2 linked regions of the Anolis sagrei genome follow. The protein of the gene in region 2 interacts with the protein of the main gene of each other region in a biochemical or structural test. Links are inferred from orthologs where the notes say so. Each region holds a gene or a part of one and is shown on either strand. Other genes may lie near its edges. The genes, in order: LMNB1 and TMPO.

The links.
Region 1: the proteins of TMPO (region 2) and LMNB1 form a complex in vitro, tested with the Homo sapiens proteins (2 studies listed by BioGRID). The link is inferred for Anolis sagrei from reciprocal best matches to the Homo sapiens genes TMPO and LMNB1.

What each region holds. Positions count from the first base shown.
Region 1 is NC_090022.1:237,883,785-237,891,078, forward strand, and holds the start of LMNB1 (lamin-B1), read right to left. Parts: upstream 3,041-7,294; 5' UTR 2,291-3,040; coding exon 1,926-2,290; intron 1-1,925. UniProt on the Homo sapiens protein: Lamins are intermediate filament proteins that assemble into a filamentous meshwork, and which constitute the major components of the nuclear lamina, a fibrous layer on the nucleoplasmic side of the inner nuclear membrane.
Region 2 is NC_090025.1:156,776,564-156,783,911, forward strand, and holds the start of TMPO (thymopoietin), read left to right. Parts: upstream 1-4,282; 5' UTR 4,283-4,467; coding exon 4,468-4,731; intron 4,732-7,348. UniProt on the Homo sapiens protein: May help direct the assembly of the nuclear lamina and thereby help maintain the structural organization of the nuclear envelope. Possible receptor for attachment of lamin filaments to the inner nuclear membrane.

The sequences.
Region 1 (7,294 bases), on a different chromosome or scaffold from region 2:
TTGGTGAACATTTTCAAAGCATGGATGGGTGAATCTGTGGATATGGAGGGTCAACTGTACTATGGATATTCACAGGCTGCTTCTATGTCTGTTCCTAGATATGTTGCTTCATGTGTCTGATAAAGTAGAATTACTCTAAGCAAGTTGTGCTACCAACTCTTTTCTCTTAGTAAGTGTCCAAGGTGGCACAAGATAATGATATTCCAAGATAGGTCTTTGGAATCAAAGCGTAGTAAGGCCCAGGGTGCAACTACACTGCAGAATTAATGCAGGTAAACACCACTTTCACCACCACGGCTCAATGCTATGAAATCATGGGAAAAGGGTGCTGGTGCCATAACTTTCTATAGCATTGAGTGGTGGAAATTAAAGGGGTGTCAAACTGCATCAGTTCCACAATGTAGCTGCACTCTTAAGAAAGCATGTGCTAGTGTCTAAATTGCTACAGGACACTGATATTTCAGACTAACAGAGCTCTGTCTTTGGAATTAAAGCATATTAATAATCAAACCCGCCCCATGGTAAATGCAACTTTATCAGTTAATAGTGGCATACCCACAATAAGGAGTTACTTATCTAAAGAACAGAAGAGCAAGGGGGAGGGGGTGCACCTCCTTATATGCCTTCCAGGGTGCCCCTTCCCCATTTAGGCAAGTTGCTTTGCAAGAGAGGTGGACCAGATGGGTCAAAAGTGTACTAGGAGAACTGGGGCCCCTTCCACACAGCTGAATTAAATCCCACATTATCTGCTTTGAACTGGGGCCCCTTCCACACACATATTACCCAGAACATTAAGGTAGAAAATCCCACATTATCTGCTTTGAACTGGGGCCCCTTCCACACACGTATTACCCAGAACATTAAGGTAGAAAATCCTACAATATCTGCTTTGAACTGGGTTACCTGAGTCCACACTCAGATAATGTGGGATTTTCTGCCTTGATATTCTGGGATATAAGGCTGTGTCCCCAGTTATCTGAGTTCACACTGCCATATATTCCAGTTCAAAGCAGAAAATGTGGGAATTTAATCTGCAGTGTGGAAGGGGCCTAAAATATATAGCAGTGTGGACTCAGATAACCCAGAGCCCTTCCACACAGACATATAACCCAGAATATCAAAGCAGACAATCCATAATATCTGCTTTGAACTAGGTTATTTTAGAGCCCATGCTGCCATATAATCCAGTTCAATGTGGATTTAATACAAATGTGTGGAAGGGGGCCTCATTTCAAAGCAGATATTGTGGGATTTTCTGCCTTGATATTCTGGGTTATATGGCTTTGTGGAAGGGCCCTGGGGGAGCTCTGTGGGGCTCTTCTACGCAGCCATATAACCCTGGACATCAAGGCAGAAAATCCCACAATATCTGCTTTGAACTGAGTTACTGGAGTCCATACTGCCTTATATTCCAGTTTAAAGCAGAAAATGTGGGGTTTTATTCAGCTGTGTGGAAGAGGGCAGGGTCACAGGTTCCTGCCACGACCCTCCTTTCCAAATATCCCCTCCCACTCTTAGGCGAGTGGATTTACAAGAGAGAGGTGAACATGAGGGGCAACCCTGTAATGGGAAAAGAGGGAGTCCCGTGTCACATGTTCCTGCCATTACCCCCTCCCCACCTCCAAGTGGCTTTGCAAGAGGGATGCCAACAGGGGGTCGAAATCTGTTGTAGGGAAAAGGTGTGGTAATTCTTGGGGGGGGGGGGTCACAAGTTCCTCCCAGGACCCCTTCCCCCTTTTAGGGGGTGGGTTAGCAAGAGGGAGGCGGGCCAAACTTGCAATGGGAAAAGGGGGGGTCTAGTGTCACATGTTCCTGCCATGCTCTCCCCCCCTCCCCCGTCCCAAGGTGCCCCTTCCCCTTCAGGGGTGTGCAAAAGGCAGGGCCAACCCCTTGTCCAACTGGGCCCAATCCCTTGCTGCCCTCACCTTCCGAGGAGCTGGTCGTGCTCGGCGCGGACCTTGCCCAGCTCGATCTGGAGCTTGGCCCTCTCGCGGGCCGTGTCGTCCAAGGCGCGGCGGGCGTCGGCCAGCTCGGCCTCGTAGAGGGACTTGAGGCCGGTGAGCTCCCGCCCGCGCACCTCCTCGCGCTCGGTGACCTGGAGGTGGAGCGCGCTGTTCTCCAGCTCCAGGCTCCGCACCTTGTCAATGTAGACGGCCAGGCGGTCGTTGAGCTCGCGCAGCTCCTCTTTCTCCTGGAGGCGGGAGATGCGCGTGGGGCTCAAGGGGGTGCTGGCCGCGCTGCTCCGGGTCCGCTGCCCCACCGGCGTCGAGGCCATCGCCATCGCCGCCATGGCGGGAAAAGCAAGGCAGGCAGGCGAGAGGAGGAGGAAAAGACAAAGCCCGGGCCGGAAGGGGTTAAGAGCGGCAGCCCACAAAGCCTTCCCGTTACAAAAACCCCCGGTTTGAAAGAAAAACAAAACCCCAATAAAGCACAGGAGCTAGAAATGGAAAAAGAAGACGAGGAGAACGCTAATCAATGCTGAAGGGAGCTAATTGGAGTAGGCTCAATGAATGGGCAAAAAAACTCCACAGAGAAGGCGGGAAACGAAGGGGAAGAATAGGAGGGAGGAGCCAAAACCAATGGGAGAAAATACAAGAAAGCCCTTCTCGGCTCAGGCACAGCCAGAAGGAAAAGGAACACAAATGGAGGGGGCACGAAATCAACGCCGAAGGGAAACAAAAGGAGGGCTGGTGATCTATGAATGGACACGCAGAGAAGGCGGGAAAAGAAAGGGGAAGAATAAGAGGGAGGAGCAAAAAGGACCCAGACGGGGTTACAAAAGAAGCCCGAGAAAGAAAGAAGGAAGGAAGGAAAGGGGGAGCAAAGAGAGAAGCCGAGCTCGCAGGTGGAAGGCGCGGGTTTACTCCCCCGAGCCTGGCGACGACGACGACGACAGCAGCAGCGGCGGCCGCCTCCCGCTCCTCCTCCTCCTCCTGAAGGGCCTTCTGCAAGGGACACAAAACAGGCGGGCTCCGCGAGGAACCAATATGGCCGCCGCCACCGCGCGCTCCAAGCCAGCAAGCCGTCCCCCTTCTCGTCGGCCTTACGTTCGCCCACGCTCACGTGACCGCGCTTCAGCCAATGGGAGGGCGAAGCGCCTTCGGCCTCGCTCTCGAGGGAGGTCTCGACGCTAAATTCAAAACCCGCCGTTTGCAACTGTCAGCGAAGGATTGTGGCGCGCGCGCGCTCGCTCTCTCCCTTTCTCTTCCCCCCTCCCCTCCTCCCACCTAAGCGACCCGGCCCTTTCCTCAGCCCGCGTGAGCGCGCACGAGCACGAGCTTTAACCGTCGTCTCCCCCCCCCCCCCCTTCCCTTCCTCTTGGCTTCTTTCTCCTCAGATGTTTGAAGGCGGGAGGAGGACGAGGAAGGGGTTGCTTCTTGGCCTTTCTGAGGCGGTGGAAAGAACAGCTGCCCTCTTGCTTTTCTTTCTTTCACTTGTCTTTTTTGTTTGTTTGTTTGTTTGAATGGGCACTGCCTGGCTGAGCTCCTCCAGGCTACCCTATTTATTCTACACTGGAATTATGGCATTTTGACACCAGTTTAACTGCTGTAACTCAGGGCCCTTCCACATAACCATATATATAACCCAGAATATCAAGGCAGATGATCCACAATATTTGCTTTGAACCTTAGTGCTGTCCAATCCTGGGAGTTTATTTATTTATTTCAGATATTTGTGCCCCGCCCTTCTCTACCCTGGAAGGGGGACTCAGGGCGGCTTACAGCCGGCAACAATTCAATGCCCCACATATACAACAAATAAACAACAGTTACATAATAAGTTAAAACATTAAAATTCGATTAAAAACCATTTAAGATAGTAGACATTGAATTAGTTGGCATGTCAAGTCCGCTTTCTACGATCAACAACTTAATCAGATGCCTGTCCATAGTCCTTTTTCCATAGCATTATCATCATTTGTATTGTCAGCCTGCTATCCGAATGCCTGGTCCCATAGCCAAGTCTTCAACTTTTTCCTGAAGGAAAGGAGGGAAGTGGTTGACCTAATTTCGCTGGGGAGCAAGTTCCACAGGCGGGGGGGGGGGGGGGGGGGGAGACTGCTGAGAAGGCCCTGCCCCTTGTCCCCACCAAGCGCATTTGCGACGAAGGTGGGATCGAGAGCAGGGACGCCCCGGAAGATCGTAAGTTTCGAGGTGGGAGGTAGGGAGAGATACATTTGGACAAGTAAGCTAGGCTACAACCATACTGGAGTTTTCAAAAGTCTTTAGCCTTCTGTGTCAAAAAGTGCTGGTCCCTCACCAAACTACAAATTCCAGAATCAATCACAATCAACTGAGCCACAGCAGATAAACTCATTGTACTGGATGTTAGGAATTGTAGGTGTTCCAGGCCTGGCAGGCATGTAGCCGGGGGAGGGGGGGCTTGGGGGCTTCAGCCCCGCCCCCCGAAATTCTGATGGTGGTCCACAAGAAGGCCTTACTGGTACATTATTTAAACTGTTACGTTTATTCATATCATCTGATCACCATGCTCAATATATCCCATATGCATGGGGGTATTGGGGTAATGATACAAAAGGTTTGCTAGGGTATACCCTCTTTCACTCAGACTCAACCCCCCCCCTCGAACCAAACTCAGCCCCCCACCCTGAAACAAAATCCTGGCTACGGGCCTGAGACCTGGTATAGATGCACCCTAGGAAAAATGGGCTGGAGAAAAGGGACTAGTTGGTTCTTAGCCTCTGTGCTGTGATCTTGCATGAAAAAAATATTTGAGATTAATTGGGGAGCCTTCCACACAGATCTATATCTCAGAATGTCAAGGCAGAAAATTCCACAATATCTGCTTTGAACTGGATTATCTGAGTCCACACTGCTATATATCCTGGTTCAAAGCATATAATGTGGGATTTTATTCAGTGGAAGGGACCTGAGGGAAATAAGTTGTAGCCTAAGCCCTTATAGACTGAGGGACCTGTCACGACACTCGTGATATTATGCCACTTTGGGCCCTTCCACACAGCCCTATATCCCAGAATATGGAGGCAGAAAATCCCACAATATCTGTTTTGAACTGGGTTATCTGAGGCTCCTTCCACACAACTGAATAAAATCCCACACTTTTTGCTTTGAACTGGAATATATGTAGTGTGAACTCAGATAAGCAGATATTGTGAGATTTTCTGCCCTGATGTTCTGGGTTATATGGCTGTGTGGAAGGGCCCTGAGTTCACTCACACTCAGATAATGTCGGTTTTTCTCCCAAGATATTTTGGGATATAGAGCTGTATGGAAGGGCCCTTTACCTGCCATGGCAACATAAATAGTATGGAATAGTATAACCTCCTGAGTTCAATCATATTCTTAGTCAGGGAAAGTGCTAAAAGGTTTGCAGTCAATGGCCACATCTACTCTGACCATTTGATGCAGTTTCAAAGATAGTGGTTTTGCTGTGCTGATTACACAGGAACTTCTGGAACCAGTTTGAGGCCTGGGTGGTGATTACATAAAGCACAGAACAGTTGCTTTTGATGGGCTTTCTTTTGTGTGTTTTTGTGGAAGTTTGTTGTCTGGCTACCGCAGTTTGAAACTGGCTTCAAAATACATTAAACGCTCAATCTAGATGGGGCAAATGGCAAATGTGCAGCCCAGCCTCTGGTGGCTTGGTCAAGGAAAGCTTGCTACCAGAACTAATTGCACCTCAACAGCAAAGGCCTTTGCTGCAGGCCATGACCCTCAGTCCTCAACCATGAACTGGACAGAAAAGTGTATCTTTTGCTTGTTTGATCCTTAGTATTTGTTCTCATTCCTGCTAAAGTAGCAAAAAATACAGTACATTCTTTATTGAAAAAGAATGCTTAAATAGTAAAAATACAGGAAATTCTTTTGTGCAAAAGTAATTGTTGGCAGCTTTACTTCATGCTAAAGCCCTGTACTAGGGAGTGCCTTTCTCTCCAGAAAGGGTTTCAAGTTCCCTGTTTATCCTATCTTCTACTGAAGGAGGGGTTAACCCTTTACTGCTTACTTCCTGCCTGCTGACTACAAGAAACCTCAAGGCAAATCCCACTTTCTCAATCTGACATTATACTTGCTGCTTCCTGTCAGACACAGATAGGTGCTCCAAATTCTATCAAGTCCCCTTGCTACTTAACAGTTGACTTAACAGTAACCCTATAAATTAAGAGACCTTCAGTGGATTAATTTGTAGCAGAGATTTTCTAGACTGAATCAATCCAGCAGTAGGAGAGGGTGCATTTACATGGTAGAATGAATGCAGTTTGACACCACTTTAATTGCCATGGTTCAATGCTATGGAATCATGGGACTTGGGACTTGACGAGGCACTAACACTTTCCAGAGAAGGCTAAAGATCTTGTAAAACTCCAACTACCATGCATTATTTGTGTGCTATGTTTTGAAGAACATCTTCCTAAAGTAAACAAATGGCCAACATTTTTGGGGGGGGGGGGGCATCCCTTCACAATTCCGCCTAGTAATTTTACTGGTCAAAGGTAATAAGAAAAAAATGTTTTCAAGTAAAAAATTTGCTAGCTCATACATTGTTTTGCAAAATAAACTAACACAGATGTCATATTTCCACTTTCTTAAATCTGAGCACTTAATTGGAACATCATGCAAATTAATTTGCATTCTAAATCAAGCCTATTAAAATTGGGTTTTTCTCTCACACACTATACTTCACAGTTCATACAATTTCTTATAGTTAAGACTGACCAGAGAGAGCCAGTAATGCTTAAATTATTGGACTTGGATGAGGTAAACCCATATTAAAATCTCTTTGTCATGGAATTGACTATGCAACTGTCAGATATCTCTCTCAACAAATCTACTTAACAGAATTGGGGGGATTAGAAAGGAAAGAGAAACTACATAAAGTGTGTGTGTACAAAGGTGCAACACAAATAAAGGAACAACATTTTCATAATGCACATTTTCCATGCTATTCTCATAAAGACACTATTTTTAGATACTTCATATTTTCTTCATACTTGTTTTGATCCATATCTCAATAAACCTGCAGATTCCCATCAAGCATCTACCTCAATAAGCTTCTATCTACCTTTTCTCCAGTTCTTTCTTTCCTCGGAGTACCATTCTCATCGAGCCCAAAAGAGCCCCCCTCCCAGCCAAAACAACTGATTTGAACCATGTTGACCTGTAGCGGAGGGTTCCACAGATCCACTTTGCCCAACTCACCTCAATGAATTTTTGCCAGCCAATCTTGGTTGGGGGGGGGGGGGCAACAGCAGCCCCCAGCCCCCAGGGAACTACATAGCCTAATGTTATTCTTTAATAAAGAAATCAAACCTTTC
Region 2 (7,348 bases):
AGATGGTTGTTTGATATTTCATTGTGGTCTACTGGAAGCTTTTCCAATTTCCCTAGAAAATTGGACTTCCGAGGTCGGACGGGTTTTTGAAAAAAAAAGGGGGGGGAATAAGGTGGAACTACAAAATGGAAGTTGGGGAAGTTACCAGTACTCATGGGATAGGGGGCAGTATGGGGTTAGGGAGGGGCTTGGCAAGGGTGGCAGGTGGTGATTGGATGTTTGGGTGGCAGGGGATGATTGGATGTTTATTAAACTGCACCACAACTTTGAACCAATGATTTTGTTCCGGGGCGGTCCTAAACCGAACCCCTTTGACTGTATAAAAAGGCCACATGGCTTGAGGCCTGTATCGTTTCCACCAGGCGCCATGTTGCGTAGGAGGCGACCCAGGCAGCTGCTTGACTTCTAAGTAAACTGCTTTCTTGAAAGAACCTGACTGCCTGTCTTGTTGTTCCTGCGCCCGCCGATTTGCAGCCTAGGAAAAAGATCATCCACTTCACTGTGATAATGCGGCATGTCTCATTAAGAGCCACATCCACTGTTTTAATGTGGTGAGATGTTTTCCACACTGGCATGCATATTCATCAGCAGAGTAGCAAAGCGCAAGGGCAGATGTCTTCACTCTGTCTGGTTGTGATCCACAGGTTGTGTCAGTCAGCTTTCATATAATATTATTTCTCTCACCCACTTTTTTTATAGCCAATCAGTGCTTCTTGTAGGTTAGAGCACAGTCCAGAGTGACTCCCAGGTATTTTGGTGTGCTGCAATGCTCCAGTGGGATTCCTTCCCAGGTAATCCTCAGGGCTCGAGATGCTTGTCTGTTCTTAAGGTGAAAAGCACACGTCTGCATTTTAGATGGATAAGGAATCAGCTGGTTTTCCCAATAATAGGCAGTAAGAGCACTTAAAGCAGTGTTTTTCAACCTGGGGGTTGCCAAAGACTATCAGAAAACAGTCCAGTACTGTTTCAGTAGTGCAGCGTTTCTCAACCTGAAGGTCAGGACCCCTGGGGGGGTTGTGAGGAGGTTTCAGAGGGGTTGCAAGACACCATCAGAAAACATATATTTCTTTTTTTTTTTTTTTAAAAAAGCTTTTTATTGAATTATATCATAGGTAAGTAAAGAATGGAACATCAAAAGTGAGAACAATTTTTGGATAGAAAAGCTTAGAAAAAGAGAGAAATTGGTAAAGAGAATGATTAAAGAAGGAAAAAAAGAAAATAAAGTAAGAAAAAAGGTTACATAAATGGTTTGACTTCCTTCTATTCTTCGGTGGCTGTAGAATTGTAATAGTTAGCCTTCCGAACGGGCAAAATGCAAAATCAGTCTAAGCATCCCTGTAATTTTTAATCTTCTTGTGAGTATTATTTTAGTCATATTAAGTCAATATTTAATTGCTTAAAGTAGTTTTTAACCAGGCCCCAGTTTATTTGTTTGTTTGGAAGTCCTTGGTTGGGAGTAATCCAGTAAGTAAACTTGTCCATGTTCATTACCTCCAAAACTTTCTTCAACCAGTCCTCTTTTTTAGGAAGAAAACATATATTTCTGATGGTCTTAGAAACCCCTTTGGCAGAGAAGGCTGAAGATCTCTCCGCCTGTCCTTTTCTTCCTTTCTAGAAAAAGCCGGGGAATCCTTCCACCAAAAGCCCTCTCCTGTGATTGACTGGCCTCTCAGCCAAGGGGAGGGCTGTTTCTGAGACTACAAGCAGGGGAGGGGAAAGCAGGCGTTCTCAGCACATGGCAGCGTGGTGTGCACTGTGGATGAGGGAGAGCGTTCGAGGCTGGAGGGAGGCTTGCACCAGCAAGTCTCTTCAAGGCATGGGAGTTCTGTGGAGGAAGTTTGTCCCAATTCTATCGTTGGTGGAGTTCAGAATGCTCTTTGATTGTAGGTGAACTATAAAACCCAGCAACTACAACTCCCAAATGTCTCTTTTCCCCATCTCCGCTAGTGTTCACATTTTGGCATATTGAGTATTTGTGCCAAGTTCGGTCCAGGTCTAGCATTGTTTGAGTCCACAGTGCTCTCTGGATGTAGGTGAACTACAATTCCAAAACTCAAGGTCAATGCCCACCAAATCCTTCCAATATTTTCTGTTGGTCATAGGAGTTCTGTGTGCCAAGATTGTTTCATTCCATTGTTGGTGGAGTTCAGAATGCTCTTTGATTGTAGGTTAATTATAAATCCCAGCAATTGCAACTCCCAACTGACAAAATCAAACCCCACCAGTTTTCAAATATGGGCATACTGGGTATTTGTGTCAAACTTGGTTCAGTGAATGAAAATACATTCTGCATAACAGATATTTACATTACAATTCATAACAGTAGCAAAAGTAGTTATGAAGTTGCAACTAAAATGATGTTGTGGTTGTGGGTCACCACAACAAGATGAACTGTATTAAGGGGTTGCATCTTAATGAACCTCTTGAGTGGTCAATATTTTCAAAAAGAGAAGTAGATAATCTCAATTTAGTCATAGCACATGTATATTTTGTTGAGATAAATCTATTAGGAAGGTCGAGAAACACTGGAGCAGGCAGAGTATGCATCCCATCTGAAATCCTGTGGTTGCCTCCCTTAGAATTCTGTTATGAAGTAGCAATGACAATAATTTTATGGTTGGGGATCACCACAACATGAGGAACTCTATTAAGGGGTCGTGGCATTAGGAAGGTTGAGAAACACTGACCTAAAACTTCAGAGAGCTTCTGTTCAACCATTAGCCTAAAGGTAATTTTATACATTATGCAGATGACACCACTTTGATAGCCGAAAGCGAGAAGGAGCCGAGGAGCCTTCTAATCAAGGTGAAAGAAGAAAGTGCAAAAGCTGGGTTGCAGTTAAACATAAAAAAACCCAAGATGATGGCAACAAGAATGATTGACAACTGGGAAATAGAGGAAGAAAATGTGGAGGCAGTGACAGACTTTGTATTTCTAGGTGCAAAGATTACTGCAGACGCAGACTGCAGCCAGGAAATCAGGAGACACTTACTTCTTGGGAGGAGAGCAATGTCCAATCTTGATAAAATAGTGAAGAGTAGTGACATCACATTGGCAACAAAGATCTGCATAGTTAAAACCATGGTATTCCCCGTAGTAAGCTACGGATGTGAGAGCTGGACCATAAGGAAGGCTGAGCAAAGGAAGATAGATGCTTTTGAACTGTGGTGTTGGAGAAAAGTTCTGAGAGTGCCTTAGACTGCGAGAAGCTCCAACCAGTCCATACTTCAAGAAATAAAGCCTGACTGCTCATTGGAGGGAAGAATAGTAGAGGCCAAGATGAAGTACTTTGGCCACATCATGAGAAGGAAGGAAAGCTTAGAGAAGACAATGAAGCTGGGGAAAATGGAAGGAAAAAGGAAGAGGGGCCGACCAAGGGCAAGATGGATGGATAGTATCCTTGAAGTGACTGGATTGACCTTGAAGGAGCTGGGGGTGGTGACAGCCAACAGGGAGCTCTGGCATGGGCTGGTCCATGAAGTCATGAATAGTCGGAAACGACTGAACAAATGAATTTTATACATATTTTAAATAATTTTGTGCATGAAACAATTCTTGTGTTCACTGAACCATAAGAAAGCAGAAGTGTCAGCCATCCATGTAGACGGAGTACGGATAAAGGCTGCTCAATTTGTTAGGTTAGCTTTGGTTAAGTTAGGTTAGCTTTGGTTAGGTTAGCGTAGCTTTGGTTATGTTTTAGGTTAGCTTTGGTTAGCTTAGCTTGGGTTAGGTCTGGTTAGCTTAGCTTTGGTTAGGTTTGTGTTCACTGAACCATCAGAAAGCAGAAGTGTCAGCCATCCATGTAGACGGAGTACGGATAAAGGCTGCTCAACTTGTATCTGGGTTGATTTCCCTCTCAGAAGTGCGCATTAGGCGAAGTGGATAATATCCACGGGAGTTTTTCACATAACACGTGTGCGTTTTGTCTCTTCCATAGCGCGCTTTTGTTTTGTTATTGTCCTTTGTGGCGAGAGATTAATTGCGCTTAAAAACCCTCTTTTAACATCAATGAAAAAGGGTCCTCCCCGGCCGAGCACCCACTCCCGCTTTGGAGCCTTGAGGGAGGCTGTTGTGGTGGTGGTGGTGGTGGTTGCCCGGGGCGCCTCTTCCTCTCCCGCCTGAGTCGAATTTAAAACTGCGTGACCAGAGCTCGCGCAAGGTACGGATTGATTGTGACGCGGCCCAGTGCGCGCGCGCGCACACACAAACAAGGCGAGCGGCTCTCCTCTCGGCGACGCAACCAATCCCAGGGCCGCTTCTCGCGCGCGGCAGCCAATCGCGGCGCACGTTATTGGCGGGCAGGCGAAGCCGTCCGTTGTGTGTTCTGTGTGAGCGTTAGGCGAGGGGGGCCGACCCTTCGCGAGGTTTCCTTTCTCTCCTTCCGCCCCTCCTCTCTTCCTGTCTCTCCCTCCCTCCCTCCCTGGGTGCACTCTTTGTTGGCGGGCCCTTCTCTCTCCGAGCCTGACGATGCCCGAGTTCCTGAGCGACCCGTCGGTGCTCACCAAGGAGAAGCTCAAGAGCGAGCTGATCGCCAACAACGTGAGTCTCCCCGGCGGAGAGCAGCGCAAGGACGTCTATGTGCAGCTCTACCTCCAGCACCTCACCGCCCGCAACGCCCCGGGGCCCCCCGCTCAGCCAGACTTCTCCAGCGACGAGGAGCGGGAGCGCGCCCCGGCCGCCAGGAACAGAGGAGGAGGAGGAGGGGGCGCGGCTGCAGCCTCCGCAGGCCGGGTAAGAAGCGACCCCCACCTCCCGCTTTCCCCGGAGCCCCCCTTCCTTCCCCAAGCGCTGAGGGGGCGGCGGAGTTTTCCCGCTTTTCTCACAGAGGGGGCGGCGCCATGTTTGGTCACTTGAGGGGAAGGCAAGGGAAGAGGAAGGGCCTCCCTCAGCCTCACTCGGGAGGCACCGTTTAATGCCTTTCAAACTCCCACAAAAGCGCGCGGAAGAAAAGCCCTTCGTGTGCCTCTGCGGTTTGGGATATTGCAGACATGGGCCAACTTGGGGTGTTTTGTACTCCAACTCCCACCATTCCTAACAGCCTCAGGCCCCTTCCTTTCCCCCCTCAGCCGCTTTGGAATGTTGAGGCTGGCCAATCAGAAGCCACACACAAATTAGTAGGTCGAGATAGCTCATACTTGGGCCCTCCCTTCAGGTGTTTTGGACTTCCATTCCCATCATTCCTAACAGCCTCAGGCCCCTTCTTTTTCTCCCTCAGCCGGACTTCCACTCCCATCATTCCTAACAGCCTCACGCCCCTTCTTTTTTCCCCTAAGCCGGACTTCCACTCCCATCATTCCTAACAGCCTCACGCCCCTTCTTTTCCCCCCTCAGCCGCTTAAGCGACTGAGGGGGAAAAAGAAGGGGCCTGAGGCTGTTAGGAATGATGGGAATGGAAGTCCAAAACACCTGGAGGGAAGGCCCAAGTTGGCCCATGCCTGATCTGCATCAGGGCCTCAAGTTGGTCCCAGGGTTTCCACCTGTGCACACAGAAGCCACTTTCTTCAATAAGTGTTTGAAGCAGCATTAAACGGTCAATGAAGATGGTGGGTCCTCCACTCGCTGCCTGCCTCCTCCTCCTCCTCTTACAGGCGTGTCCACAAGTCCCGCTCAGAAACGTTGAACTTGGTGGGCGTCCTGCCAGCCAGCGTCAGGCAGTTTCACTTCTGCAAATCTGCAGGAAGGCGTGCTGCCCTTGGCCTTCTGCCCGAGCGATAGTCTCGCCAGCCTCAGGAGACCTCCCGAGTAAATCTACTTCCAACTCCCACAATTCCAGCCAAAGTTTGTCCATGCCTGATCCACACTATAGAGCAGGCATGGGCAAACTTCAGTCCTCCAGGTGTTTTGCACTGAAACTCCCACAAATTCCTAAAAGCTTACCTACCGGCTGTTAAGAATTTGTGGGAGTTGAAGTCCAAAACACCCGGAGCACCAAAGTTTGCCCATGCCTGCTTTAGAGTGGCTCAGTGTTATGAAAACAGTAGGTTTGTAGTCTTCTCAGGCCAAGAATGTAGGCACCTCACCAAATGGCAACTCCCAGGATTCCATAGCAGTTAAAGTGGTCTCAAATTGCATTTTTTCTGCAGTGTGATGCACTCCTTATTTGTCAGGAGTGGGGATTGCTTCCAAGTACCCTGTTATTGTACTGTGAGTAATTCTGGAGGCCAGACTTTGTCTCCTCTGCTTTATAAACCCACCAGGTGACCTTAAGCGAATCACACACTCTCAGCCCTAGGAAATCCTTTGGCCCTCCGCCTGGGAGACAGGCTCGCCTTGGATCCTTGCGCTGCTGGGGAAAGCCTGTCAGGAGGCGGCTCGCGTTGCGGATCTGAAACACCAAGTGCATCAACACCAGGCATGGGCACACTTTAACCCTCCAGGTGTTTTGGACTTCCAACTCCCACAATTCCAGCCAAAGTTTGCCCATGCCTGATCAGTACTAGGGCATGCTTGCTGTAGAGTGGCTCAATGTTATGAAATAATGGAGATTGTAGTTTTACAATAGCTTTATCTTTCTCAGCCCAAGAGTGGGGACCTCACCAAACGGCAACTCCCAGGATTCCATAGCAGTTAAAGTGCTCTCAATTTTTTCTGCAGTGTGATGCATTCCCTGTTAGGCAGGAGTGGAGATTGCTTCCAGTACCTTGCTGTAGTGCTGTGAGCAACTCTGGAAGCCAGTTTCGACTGCCTGCGCCTTTTTAGAAACCCACTGAGTGACCTTGAGCAAGTCACACACTCACAGCCCTAGGAATAATTGGGAAGTGATTGAGGATGCACAACAACATACCTACTTCTTTCAAGCTCCTCTTTTGCTGTTCTCTCTATGGGTGCATAAATGGCATCCTGTCTCTATATAACTCCTTTAAAACACGCTTAAATTATGTTTCAATCCATCTGAAGGAGCCCCCAGTGGTTTTGGCCTTCAACTCCCAGAAACCACAGCTGGTTTACCAGCTGTTAGGATTTCTGGGAGTTGGAGGCCAAAACATCTGGGGACCCACAGGTTGAGAACCACTGGGTTAAAACCTTGTGCTGGCAGGACTGTTGACCAATAGGTCAGCAGTTCGAATCCAGAGAGAGCAGGTTGAGCTCCCTTTATCAGCTCCAGCTCCCCATGCTGAGTGATGCCTCCCGCAAGGATGATAAAACACCAAATATTCAGGCGTCCCCTGGGCAACGTCCTTGCAGATGCCCAATTCTCTCACACCAGAAGCGTCTTGCTGTTTCTCAAGTCGTTCCTGGCATGAAAAAAATCAATTTGAAATACTTCTAAATTTAAAAGGCACAATATGGTTTTCAGTTTTCTTTGGTATACTGTTTTTATTGTTGCTGCAAGGTACATTATTTTGAT